2 linked regions of the Arabidopsis thaliana genome follow. The protein of the gene in region 1 purifies or fractionates together with the protein of each later gene. This does not show direct contact. Each region holds a gene or a part of one and is shown in the gene's direction. Other genes may lie near its edges. The genes, in order: HDT4 and AT5G08630.

Region 1 (4,798 bases):
CTAGTGCTTAAATAAGTCTTGTTTATAATTTGTAAACTTTCAAAACTAGATATCGTTATATCATCTATCTTATGATAATTAATACAGAAATGAGAAAAGCAACATAAATACATACTACATAATAAAAATACGTAGTTTTCTAACATGCTTTTATTTCACAAAACATAGAAAAAAAACTGTGTGCACTTTGTGAAAAAGATTGTTTTGCTTCATGCATTTGTGAAATAATACATATCAGATCAATTTTATGTATCGTACTTTGAATTCATAAAAATTGTCTGATTCATGCATTCAAATCCATTATGAAGTTTTCTGTTACAAATGCATCTTTTAGTAAAAAAGGAAGTATATAATTAAAATTCATTTGAAGTTTTCTGTTACTAATGCATCATGTACATGAATATACTGTAGTAAAATTTCTACTAAAGGGAATGAACTTATTCTCATAATTACTTTGATTTCACAAAGATTACACAAAATCAATTGTGTTGACCAAACTAAAATACTACTACTAAACTTAATTAAAAACAATGATAATCATTGAGTATTTCAAGAGGTGAACACTATATTACAAAGTAACCAATGAAAATAACAAAGAGTCGAGTCCAAACCAAAACCTTAGTCCAAATTGGTTTCTACGACCCAGTGGATATAACAATTTCATAAAATTCATAGCCACCGGTTAAACCTGGACCCAATACCGAACTCACACACATAACTGAAACTCCAGTTCACCTCCTATAGCCGGTTCCCTTCTCTCACACTCTCAGAAATTTCCAAGCAATTTCTCACCGTTTCGTTATCTACAAATCCACTATAAATACTTCACTCTTCAGCTTTGTATTATTCTCTTAACATTCCATTACTCTTATCCTTTTACCCTCATCATCCTCCACTATTTACAGTTTTGCCACTCTGACTTTATGCTAGCTTCTTCCGGTGACTGGCGATAACACGAGAGAGCCTTCGCCTTCTCCAAGCTTCATACTCTTCCGACGATAAAGATTAGAAGACATGAAGAACGGTAACCGGAAAACAACGCCGGAAACAGAGAAGTCTCACCGGAGAAAGTTATCAGAGAAAGCGATGTCGTTTCACGGCAGAGGAACAACGCCGTTATCAAATCCAGGCGAGCTTCGAAGACCGAAAACGTTACCGGAGTTATTCTCCACCGGTCAAAGCATCACCGTACCGGAGACGGTTTCACTTCCGCCACGTTTGACGAAACTTTTACTTAACGTGACGGTACAAGGAAGTTTAGGAGCCGTACAAATTATAATCTCGCCGGAATCCACCGTGAGTGATTTAATCGACGCCGCCGTTCGTCAGTACGTTAAAGAAGCTCGCCGGCCATTTTTACCGGAATCTGAACCGTCACGATTTGATCTTCATTACTCGCAGTTTAGTCTTGAGAGTATTGTAAGAGACGAGAAGTTGATATCGCTAGGGTCGAGAAACTTTTTCTTATGTGGTCGGAAAGAGACCGGAGGGTTTATCGGCTGTGGTTTATCGTCGGAATCTTGTTCTAAGGAAGCAGAGAAAGTGGCTAAAACTGGTTTTCATTGGCTCAAATTTATGGGCTTCTAGAAGTTTTTATCATTTTGAATTATTGCTTTTTCAAATTAGTTCCATTCTTTAGAAAAAGGATATAAAAAACATCTGTGTATATTATTTCTATGTAGAAATGAAAATCATTAATTAGTGGTGTATAATGTATTTTAATCAATTATATACCAAGATGATTATATGAAGTTCTAAAGTTTACCAATACTATTTTGATGAAATTCTTATTTTATTATATAGTTGAAAATCTATAAAGCATTATTCGTGGATGAATATAGCCATGAAATGGGTATTATAAACTGAATAGAACATTGTATATTATATATTATCTTTTTATAATATCTTTTTTGGACCTCTAATAATAGAACTTTTGCATTCTGTTTATGTGATAACGACATTGCCCAACCTTATCCCTAAAGTCAGACATTTTTGAGTAAACCAATTTGATGCCGTGTTGCTCTTCCTTCTCTTATTTGTTTAATCAACATTCTTTCTCTTTGATCATTGAAGCAAAGTTAATTACCCAAATCATAGGCAACTCTTATGACATGGCTATAAAATTAAAATATATCTAAAACCCATCAAATAAGGCCGATTCAAAATAAGCCCACTAAAAATAAGGCCCATTAATATACTATTCCAAAAGAAGTAACTAAAAACCCTACCTGTGAAAAGGAAGTTTAAAGGAGTAGTAAGAGTAACCTTATAAATAAGCCGCTCCATTATTTTTGTTTGTTTGAAACAAACTCTAAAACCCTAAATTCTTCTTCTCAAGCAGCCACATCTTCCTCTTTCACTAGCTATGGAGTTTTGGGGTATGTCTCTCTCAAAATCATATCTTTATTAAGTTCTACTGAATACCTCAATGACTCCTATTGACTGTTTTCGCCATTAAAGTTAATCATTTTGGTATTCCTAAGTTCGTTCTGTGATTAAAAATCTGGTCTTTATACAAAAGCTTGCCTTTCTTCTGTATTGAATTCTCTCTATTACTCAATACGCATTTTCTTGTGTTCAAAACTATACAATTGTTTGGGAATATTAGCATTCTTAGTGTTTAGGTTTCAATGCATCTATCTTTGTGAGGTTATGTTTCAAAGTATCTATCTTTAAGAGTTTATGTTTCAAAGCATCTATCTTTGTGAGTTTAGGTGTCAAAGTATCTATATCTTTGTGAGTTTAGGTGTCAAAGCATCTATCTTTGTGAGATTTTGTATGAATTTGTACTCAAATGTGTGATGAATAATGTTCAATTTTAGGTATCGAGATTAAGCCAGGGAAGCCATTTAAGGTGATACAAAAAGATGGATTCATGGTCCATGCCTCTCAGGTCTGTATCAGTTTTGTAATTCCTGCAAGTTTCTCTCTTTGTGTAAATCCATGATTGATATTGATTGTGTTACTTGTTGTAACATCTCTTAGGTTACCCTTGGTGACGTTGAGAAGGTTAAAAAAGATGAGACTTTTGCCGTTTATGTGAAGATTGGTGATGATGAGAATGGGTTTATGATTGGAAATCTCTCACAGAAGTTTCCTCAATTTTCTATTGATCTCTACTTAGGGCACGAGTTTGAGATTTCTCACAACAGTACAAGCAGTGTCTATCTTATTGGTTACAGGACCTTTGATGCTTTTGACGAACTATATCCTTTCTTTCATTGTCTTTTTCTAGTTAAATTCATACTCACTTGCAATTTTGAAGCTTTGTTTGTTTATCCTTGATTTTGTTTTGCTCTGCTTTTTTCTGATGCTCACGGATGAGGAGATTGATTCTGGTGAGTTTATAATTCTTTAGTTGATGATTTGGTTTACTCTATTATGAAGCTTGAAGCTAATCTTTTGCTTTTTGGTTTGTGTAGATTCTGAGTTAGATGAATATATGGAACAACAAATTGGTATGTTTACTTTTTTTACTAAGCTACTGCTTTGTGGTAGTCATATTTACATGTGTATCTCTTATGAAATCTAACTTTGACATTGTTGAAAAGCTGCTTTGCCTCAAAATGAGATCAATCCTGAAGAAGATGATGAATCCGACTCAGATGAGGTAGATTTTTCTTTTAAGTATTTACTGATTAGCAATGAATCAGTATAAAAAAAAAGGTAATCTTGTTGTTTTTTTCTGTATGTTTGGTTAGATGGGTTTGGACGAGGATGATGACTCTTCAGATGAAGAAGATGTAGAGGCTGAAGCACCTTTAAAGGTGGCTCCTCCGAGCAAAAAGATGCCAAATGGTGCATTTGAGATAGCTAAAGGTGGAAAGAAGAACAAGTCATCAGGTAACGAAAACTAAAGTTAAGATATATAAAGATAACTTTGCATATGAGATGAGAATTGTGGATTATTGATTTGGTTTAAAACCATTTTGGTGCAGGAGGGAAGAAGAGATGCCCATTCCCTTGTGGTCCCTCTTGCAAAAAGTAGAAGATATTTGCACACCAAGTCACATTTTTCCAATAGAAATTTTTACTTGACTGTATTGGTGAATCGTTGAGTGACTTATGAGGCTTTTGGCATCTTAAAATTTTTGGATTATTATAATATATGTTATGTTGTCATTTTGGAGTGTTAATGGGTTTAAATGAAATATGATTTTTGCTCTTTTCAAGTTCATAAAATTTCGAAGTTGCTGGCTGATTCATGATAAGTACTATACAATGTCGATATGTTATGATCTAATCTTGATCGCAATACTAAGTAGATGGAGTATATTAAATCAGAAATAGTTGAACTAGAATATGCTCTAACAATGTATTTTATGTACATGAGTTAGAAAGAAAGAAAAAAAGACTCATTTTCTTCTAGTTTGCTTTGCCTTCATTGAATTAAAAATTCAGTGAAAACAATTCAAAATATAAAAATAATGATAATGCGTCTGCCGGGAGTCGAACCCGGGTCTATTGCTTGGAAGGCAATTATCCTAACCGTTGGACTACAGACGCTACTTGTGATTTATATATTACAATTTAAAAATAAAATCGAATTTAATTGTCGAGCGTTCCAAAACTACTAGACTTTCTTTCATACTCTGTAGTCCACTTGTTTTTTTTCTGAACGAAACACAATGTGTTACTTGACAGAAGATAATTACATTTGTTCTTGTACTTGTACACATGTAAAACGAAGCATTTTAAAATATACACTCGAACATTTATCATTCGCTACAAACGATTAACCTCTTGCTTTCTGACAGCTCCGACATACATGGCCAAACAAACCAAACAAAAAGAGAAA
Region 2 (7,757 bases), on another chromosome or scaffold:
CCATTACTCAACCTCTGCAAAATTCACAAAACCAATCCATTAAAAACATTTTATAAATTAATCTACATTTTTATACAAGAATCATAATAAAGTTCAGACCAGAATCTGATCGCCGATGTGAACAATGACGGCGGAGGGAATATACTCTGCATCGAACCAGTGATCATCTTTGAAAACTTGAAGTCCAGGAACTTCGTTAGGAACAAGAAGAGTGATTCCACTGAGATCTGTATGAGCCGGTACACCTAAAGCTAAATCCGGCCGAGGACACGGCGGATAATAGTTAATCTTCATCATATACTCCGCCATCTCTCCGCCGAGACCTTCTTTCAACGCATCACGCTTTAACCCTAATCCATCCGAGAGAATCCCTAATAACGTCTCCGATAGCTTCTTCACATGCACTGCATACTCTTCATTCACCTCCCTAATACATTAAACCAACGGTTAACTTCGGTTTACAAAATTTGAATTTTTGATGATTCTGTTTTGGTTTACCTGTATTCAGGTGGATTCTTAGGCCAGAATCTGTAATTGACGCATGACGGTGGCCAGATTCGATGGAAGAGATGATCGACCCAAGCTTTTTTACCTTCTGGATCTTTCTGAAGCTTTGTTCCGTATCCTTCAATGTCTTTCGAATCTTCCGGTTTAGCGACGGATTCTTTCTCCGACGAAGGAAGCTCGAAGAATTTTCTTCCGACGTCTTGTAAACGTCGTATCAGCTCCGTCGGAATCCCGTGGTTAACCACTTGGAATAGCCCCCATTCTTCACTCGCTTTCACCACCGCGCGCCTCACGCTTTCTTCGTCGGGATCGCTTAGATCGACGACGGGAATCGCCGGCGTTGGACCTCGGAATGTTGTGATCGCTGGTTGTTCTTTCTCTGATCTGATGAACTCCAACGGGATTGCTTCTGTTAGTAGAGAAGAAGATGAAATGTCTTGGACTCTTTCGACCTCCATTATTTTTTTTGGTAGTTTGCGTTGCCGGAAACAATGGCGGATATGTAATTTGGGGGATGGTGTTACGAGTGGTTTTAAGGAGGGAGGAAGTGAGGACGTGGCGAAATCTTGGCCGCTGGATAGAGACAACTACCACATAAAGTACGTGTTGATATGTGTAAGTCGTCGAGGCTTCGTCACTCACGAGTTTGGTACCAAGTTTTGATAGATTTATGGATGAAGAATTTAATTAATTTGATTTGTTGTTTTGTGGTGGTAGTTTTAAGAAAAGGAAAAAAGTGATGTTATTATATTTTAGGCCATAAAATACCATATTTGAAATAGATATTTTAGTACATATTTTTGGCGGGTGTTCATGTAAACACAAATAAATATCATCTTGAGTCGTTGACAAAAACAAAAACAAAAACAACAAACTTTGGTTGGCCATTCTAATTACTGTAAAGATTTTCTTCTGCATTTCGATTGGTCCATGAATTTTACACAGGAAACATTATTTAATGACTTGGTTTCTAGAGTGGGTTATTTGAAGTTTTCTTTTTTTGGTCAAACATCATTTGGAATTTAATCAAATAATAATGGTGGAGAGTTAAGGCTTTACCATTTTAAATCGTAAGCAATGAATAAAATACTGGTTTCAAATCCAACCCCATTTAAAGCTAAAGATTCAAGGCCCATATAACAAGACAAGGCCCAGTTATTGGGCTACTATAGAAAAAGGAAAAACTACAGTATAGGGCTCTAAAACAGCAACACCTGTATAAACAAAAAAAGGAAACCGAGTGCTACTTAAGATATAAAATAACAAAAAAAAGGTGAGAGGCTAATTCGCATATTAAGTTTTTTTTCCCGTCTTTCCCATAAGGAAGGACGACGACCAAAAAGAGCTGAGAGCGAGAGAGAGAGAGAGAGAGCGAAGAGAAAAACGAAGAGAGACGGTGAGATCTCAACACTTGTATTCTTTCCTTGAGAGACCACCTCTCTCTCTCGACGACGCGCATTCCCAATTTCATACATTCTCCGTAAGATTTTTGATTGAGTCTCTCTAATTTCGTTGTTTATAATTCTCTCCAATCGTTTTCTTTGTTGTGGCGGGAACATCGATCCTCTTTTCTTCTGCGATTTTGCTTTCTTCGTTGTGATTTCGTTGCATTAGCTTCGAATTTTCGTTCCGTTTTGTTTGTTATTGATGATTGTGTTCGTCTCTTCTTTGTTACATGTGTTGTTATGCTTTTTTGACTGCTTTTTGTGTGTTTTACTTGTCCGTTTCGCCTTCTGGATTCTCCGAAAGTGGCGCATGATAGTGCTTTCTTTTTCTCGATCTCTCTTGGGTATGTGTTTTGATTCCTCGGTTTCGTTTTGGTTCCTTTGCTCTCAAGTGTCAATTTTGTCCCATGGTTTCAGATCTTTTCTAATTTCGATTGGGATTGCGATTTTTCTAGGGTTTAGTGCTATCTCGGTTTCTTCTGCATTGCTTTTCTTAACATTTTTCATTGGCTTTTCTTTTTTGCACATGATCTCACAAGTACCACTTGCTTTTCCATAGGCTCTGTCGAATTCAGTAGAAATTAGAATCAGCTCTAGGCTTGCATGCAATCATTTGCATTCTGTGCCACAAATTTGTACGTTTGCTAAGTTTTACTTGACCGTTGTGTCACCTTAAACGCCTTATGGGTTGATTTTCTGTTCTCCATGGTTTACATTTTCCGCTTTGGAACAACTGTGACGTCTTGCTTTTGTATACAATTCCCTTCTTGCTTGGATGACCTGGTTCTACATTTACTAGGATTTCACATTAGTGAATATGAGAATCACTTATATAGACCATTCATTTTTGTCTACACTGCAGGTTGGTTTTGCCATTTGAAGGATGCCTCTACTAAAAAAGAAGTCACATAAACTACTGGAGCCCCCAAAGAACTTGGAGCCTCAAGAACTTGTCTATCAAGTTCGTCTAACAAATGAGATCTTTCGAGATTATCAGTATCCTTATTCTGTAACTGTTACAATTTTAAGACTTATGTTTTGAATATTTGCCTTCTCCTTCTGTGTGCAGTTAGAGGAAAGAGAAATAAGCTTAAAACTTGTAATTCTGTTTGCCTGTTTCATTCTGGGACAACCTTTATTCATATTATTCTTCAAAGGCTTGGTTGTTCATGTTTATCAGTGCACATGCCGTGTCAGAACTATTTGTTTGCTTAACATAAAATAGATTGTACTTGAAGAGGTTAAATCTGTATCGCAACCGAGTTTGGACTTGTAAGTCTACTGGTAAAACTAGCTTGAGCTACGAGGAGGCCTTAGATTCAGAAAAACTGGCAGGCAAGAAGGTTCAAACTCTGCCCAGAGAGCTAGTTGCACCTGCTTTACGCATCATCCAATTCAGTAAGTTTTTAACTCCTTCATTGATTATTTTTATGTGATATAAGTGTGTCGAAGTCTTGATTTGCAGAGTGTCCAAGTCTTGATTTTACCTTTCTCGGTTTCTCTCTATAAGTTTTGCAAATCAGGACTACCTTTTTACCGTTTTGAATTTGTTTGTGTAAGATAATTTTCTTAATACTTGAAATCTCTGGTTTATGAGCATTATTTCTGACTCTTTTTCCTCCATTTTGAAAAGGTACGCTTTCATTGAAAGATCTTGCTGACAAAATAGCGACAGAGTTGCAAGATTGCTTTTTCCCTGGCGCAGAGTTGTATGGGGAAAGGGATGGGGAACTGCATCCTTGCAAAATCTTGAGGATAGTATCAGATGGGGATAGTAAACCTCAGTATGAGGTAGGCTTCCTTGACAAAAACAAGGAAGTAGATGATAACACAGTGCTCTTTGGGGAGGATCTGTCATGGAAGAAGTTTCCATTTAGTAGAAATTTTCTGAAGTCCTTCATTCGAGATTCCACATGCCACAGTATACCTTGGGTAGTAAATGATTACCTGGCTAAAGCACATGAAATCACGAGAAAGATTCCCAAGGAACTTCAGAACAAATATGTCTTTCAGAATGGAGAACTGGTTCAACAAAGGAAGCAGGTTGATATAAAGTACACCGCCATACAATAATTTGTAGCATGGCCTAATAATTGGTCTATGTACTAATCAGTTTTGTCTCATCGCTAAATTATAGGAAGATAAAACCGGAAGGGAAAATAGAAAAAGAAAGAGAGCAGAAAATGGTAAACATGTTGCAGAGGAGACAGATAGAGGTAGCTTTGCATGGATGCTCTGCAATTCATTTCCATTTCAATGTTTTCTAAAGTTGGCCAAAAGTTCCTTTGCGATATCATTTACATTTCCGGTTTATAGCTGACATCAATAATCTTACGTGTTCTCTTGAGCTTATGGAGAATATTGTTGACTTGAGGAATAGAGAAAAATTTGGTCTTTTTTGTGTACTTTTGAACTGATTTCTCTTTGTTGGTTTTCTCTTTCCAGAGGTTAATGGGTCTGAGGAAGAGGCTATCAATTACCCAATCGAAGATTTACTTTTGCCACCTGATCCTGATGTCACTCAGCGTCCTTCTCCTTCCCGGGATTTTAGTGTTCCTATGGATTGTGTTGGGGATCTTCTTATGGTCTGGGACTTTTGTACCTCATTTGGTAGGCAGCTGCATCTATGGCGATTTTCTCTTGAAGACTTTGAAAATGCTGTCTGCCACAAGGAGAGTAATTTGGTTCTTATCATGGAAGTGCATGCCTCTCTTTTTCGGTTCCTCATCAATGAACGTGGTGATAGTTTCAAAGCTTTACAGAGAAGGAGTCGCAAGTCGAAGGTCAGATCCTCGTCTCATGAAAATCATATTTGGCTAACAAATTAGGCCGCACAGTAATATGCTTTTCTCATTCAACATTAAGTCGCCAGCCTTGTGATTTTTCAGTTTTGTTTTTGTGGTTGATGGCATGCTTGTTGCTTTATTTCATCTTATTTCAGATAACATTGATCACGTGGGCAGAGTATCTTTGTGATTTCCTGGAATCAGTCAACACTCCTGATTTGTGCTTCGATGTTGGAACGATCAAACGTGGACATTATGGTCTCTTGGACCCAAATGTAAAATTGAAAATCTTAAGGGAATTAGTGAACCATATAACCGAAACAGGTATGTTCAAGGGGGAAATAGATGAGCTTGTTGAACAACGGCATGCCCTTGGAGCTGCTAGAAGAGAAGAAGCATTGGCGGAGGCCCGACAGATAAGAGAGGAGAAAGAACGGTCCAAAACTGGTGAGGAAGCTAATGGAGTTTTAGACAATAATAGGTTGGAGAAAAAGAAAAATAGCGCACAAGTATTAGAAAGCAGTGAAGACAGCAAAAAGAATGAGAGCACTGCAGGGGGAAGCAAGATGGAGAATGGGTCTGTTTCTTCGGAAAACATTGAAAAATCAGAGAAAAGGTTTGGCTTATCCTATTTACACATAAGCAGAACATTTTGTTTTTGGATGACTTGGTGGGAGCTCATTGTTCTTATGGTTGTGATAGGCTTATAGGGAATGTCTATCTGAGAAAGCACAAAAGGCAGATGACGGATACAAAAATCGAACCAAAAGAGGAGGAGGAGGATGAGAAAGCAGAGGAGGACGAAGAGGAGAAAGGATTTTCAGTGAAGAAGCAGGAGGTAAAATCTGCAAGCGAAGATGAGAAAGGAACTTTTGAAAGGAGGGGGCCCGAACAGAGGGTAAAGTCCGTCCCCTCATAGTTATATTTGGTTGTTTGCATATATTCCCCGTGTGTGCTTTTTTTACCCATCAAGTCTGAAATTTTTTGTATACATGCAGAGGCAATATTATGAGCGGGAGATGGAGAAAATAGTCATACGTACAAACCCCTTGGGTAAAGATCGGGACTACAACAGGTACTGGTGGTTCCGAAGCAATGGGAGAATATTTGTTGAGAATTCTGATTCCGAAGAATGGGGCTATTATACCGCCAAGGAAGAGGTATCATCAATCCACGTGGTTCATTTCTTTGTTTGATAAATGGATTGTATAGTTCTTGTTCCGATTTGTGTATGTTACTTGAGATCCAGCTGGATGCATTGATGGGGTCACTAAACCGTAAAGGAGAGAGGGAACTGTCATTATATACACAACTAGAGATATTCTATGACAGAATATGGTCAGTTTATAGCTTCCCATTTCTATTTTGCATAATCTGCAGTATTTATTATTCTGGTAACTTGTTCTACCCTCACTTTAATGCACATGTAGAAGAGTAACACCACATTTATCGAAGTCCCCTTGTTTATGTGTAATGGCTTTAAAACCTGGCGATGACTTGTGATTTGCAGCTCTACACTACAAAAGAGGACGAAGGACATTGCTCACAACATAGAAATGGAAGAAGCAGTGGTTAGGAGATCTACCCGTGTAAGAGCTCCACTACATGAAAATCCAGCTAGTGCCTTCTTGAGATATGTTAACAAGTGGAAAGAGGACTAAACGTAGCAGAATTCAATTCTGTATAGGAAAAGCTTGTAGTTGCAGTTGCAGCCATAGCCAAAACTTACCATTTTCAGCTTGTCTTCTCTGTTTTTTCTTTGGCTCCTTTAGGGTTTAGTAGAGCTTTTTACAAGTTACAACAAAAAGGCATTAGTCTTATGGTATGGTGAAGGCAACGCTTGAGTAGAAAGATGGTGTTGGGTTTTGTTTTGTTTTTCTGTTACCATTCATCATCACCTTCTTTTCAGTACTCTATGATACCGAGGTACCATTTATTTTTTATTTTTTCCGGGGAAATTAGAAGTTTTATTACTATTCCTAAAATGTTTCATTGCAGATTTGCATCTATGTCTGATTTTGGTTGGTGGCTATATTTCTAAGCTTTGTTACAGAAGACTTAGATTAATTAGGCTAAAACCTTTTGACTTATTTTTGTTTTCAGTGCGGTTTGATAAATTTGATGGCATGTCATCTTTGTTTTAGCTCCAAAATAAACATTTAGGACCATCGTTGTACCCTTGTTTTTTGTTTTAAAAAAATCAAAACATGAATTTGGTAGTTCGACATTTGAATCTATACAGTATACAACTACTCGGAGAAGAAAGTCAGTTCTCATTTTCAAATCCAGGTAATTACACCCACACCTGTGGGCTGTAAGACAGAATTTACAATGTTGAACAGCCTAGCTATGATTCAGAAGCAAACCAAGGACTACAAGTCAGGTTTAGTTTTCAGCCAAAAAGCCAATCGGAACTCTTTCTTTTTGGGTAACAAATTCGGTTCGGTAAGATGAACCGATTAGATAATTTTTTGGAAGAGATGAACCGATCAGTTAACCAAAGAAATTTCTATTTTTTCTGAATTTTTTATTTTCGGATTTTTGGGCTCCGAAACAAACCGGATCTTGACAAATTAGTAAATTACCAAATGAAATTCTTAAGAAGGTAACTTTTACCAAAATGCCAAACTTCAAAAAAGCAATAAAGTTCAACACAAACAATACCATTAGGCAAAGAAAGAGAAAATCTAGCGGGAACGATAATTTCTCTTTGCAGGTTTCTTGTCAAAACCTGGAGCGACTCTAATACCAGGAACGTTTTTGAGACCCATCTTGCCAAGAATATTTACAGGGATAGCCGGAGGGATGCTAAGTCCCATACTGCGGCTAAACTCATTAGCTAACTCCACCAGTCTGGTCGTGTCTCTAGCAATCTTCTTCTGCGATTTGTAGTAACCCAACCATGCCTGATATGCCGCCTCCTTGTTCGTCATTTCCACTTGGATAAGCCCTTTCTGCACCTGATTTTAACATGTTTTCAACACCCATCAATGCTCACTCGAGTTACATACTCTTAAGA

What was found.
Region 2: the proteins of HDT4 (region 1) and AT5G08630 fractionate together in Arabidopsis thaliana (co-fractionation; one large-scale study listed by BioGRID). This does not show direct contact.

The regions. Positions count from the first base shown.
Region 1 is NC_003071.7:11,859,720-11,864,517, forward strand, and holds HDT4 (histone deacetylase-related / HD-like protein), read left to right. Parts: upstream 1-2,086; 5' UTR 2,087-2,365; coding exon 2,366-2,378; intron 2,379-2,808; exon of another isoform or gene 2,809-2,822; coding exon 2,823-2,893; intron 2,894-2,985; coding exon 2,986-3,206; intron 3,207-3,318; coding exon 3,319-3,338; intron 3,339-3,422; coding exon 3,423-3,458; coding exon of another isoform or gene 3,459-3,532; exon of another isoform or gene 3,533-3,551; coding exon 3,552-3,610; coding exon of another isoform or gene 3,611-3,658; exon of another isoform or gene 3,659-3,701; coding exon 3,702-3,843; intron 3,844-3,938; coding exon 3,939-3,988; 3' UTR 3,989-4,189; downstream 4,190-4,798. Other genes in the region: AT2G27830 (uncharacterized protein), read left to right, coding at 1,015-1,587. UniProt on the Arabidopsis thaliana protein: Probably mediates the deacetylation of lysine residues lysine residues on the N-terminal part of the core histones (H2A, H2B, H3 and H4).
Region 2 is NC_003076.8:2,797,217-2,804,973, reverse strand, and holds AT5G08630 (DDT domain-containing protein), read left to right. Parts: upstream 1-1,802; 5' UTR 1,803-1,987; exon of another isoform or gene 1,988-2,296; intron 2,297-2,814; 5' UTR 2,815-2,835; coding exon 2,836-2,948; intron 2,949-3,177; coding exon 3,178-3,350; intron 3,351-3,585; coding exon 3,586-3,995; intron 3,996-4,089; coding exon 4,090-4,168; intron 4,169-4,397; coding exon 4,398-4,735; intron 4,736-4,893; coding exon 4,894-5,354; intron 5,355-5,440; coding exon 5,441-5,636; intron 5,637-5,736; coding exon 5,737-5,898; intron 5,899-5,987; coding exon 5,988-6,076; intron 6,077-6,248; coding exon 6,249-6,399; 3' UTR 6,400-6,964; downstream 6,965-7,757. Other genes in the region: FLS1 (flavonol synthase 1), read right to left, coding at 1-14, 100-427, 499-965; STRS2 (DEA(D/H)-box RNA helicase family protein), read right to left, coding at 7,426-7,698.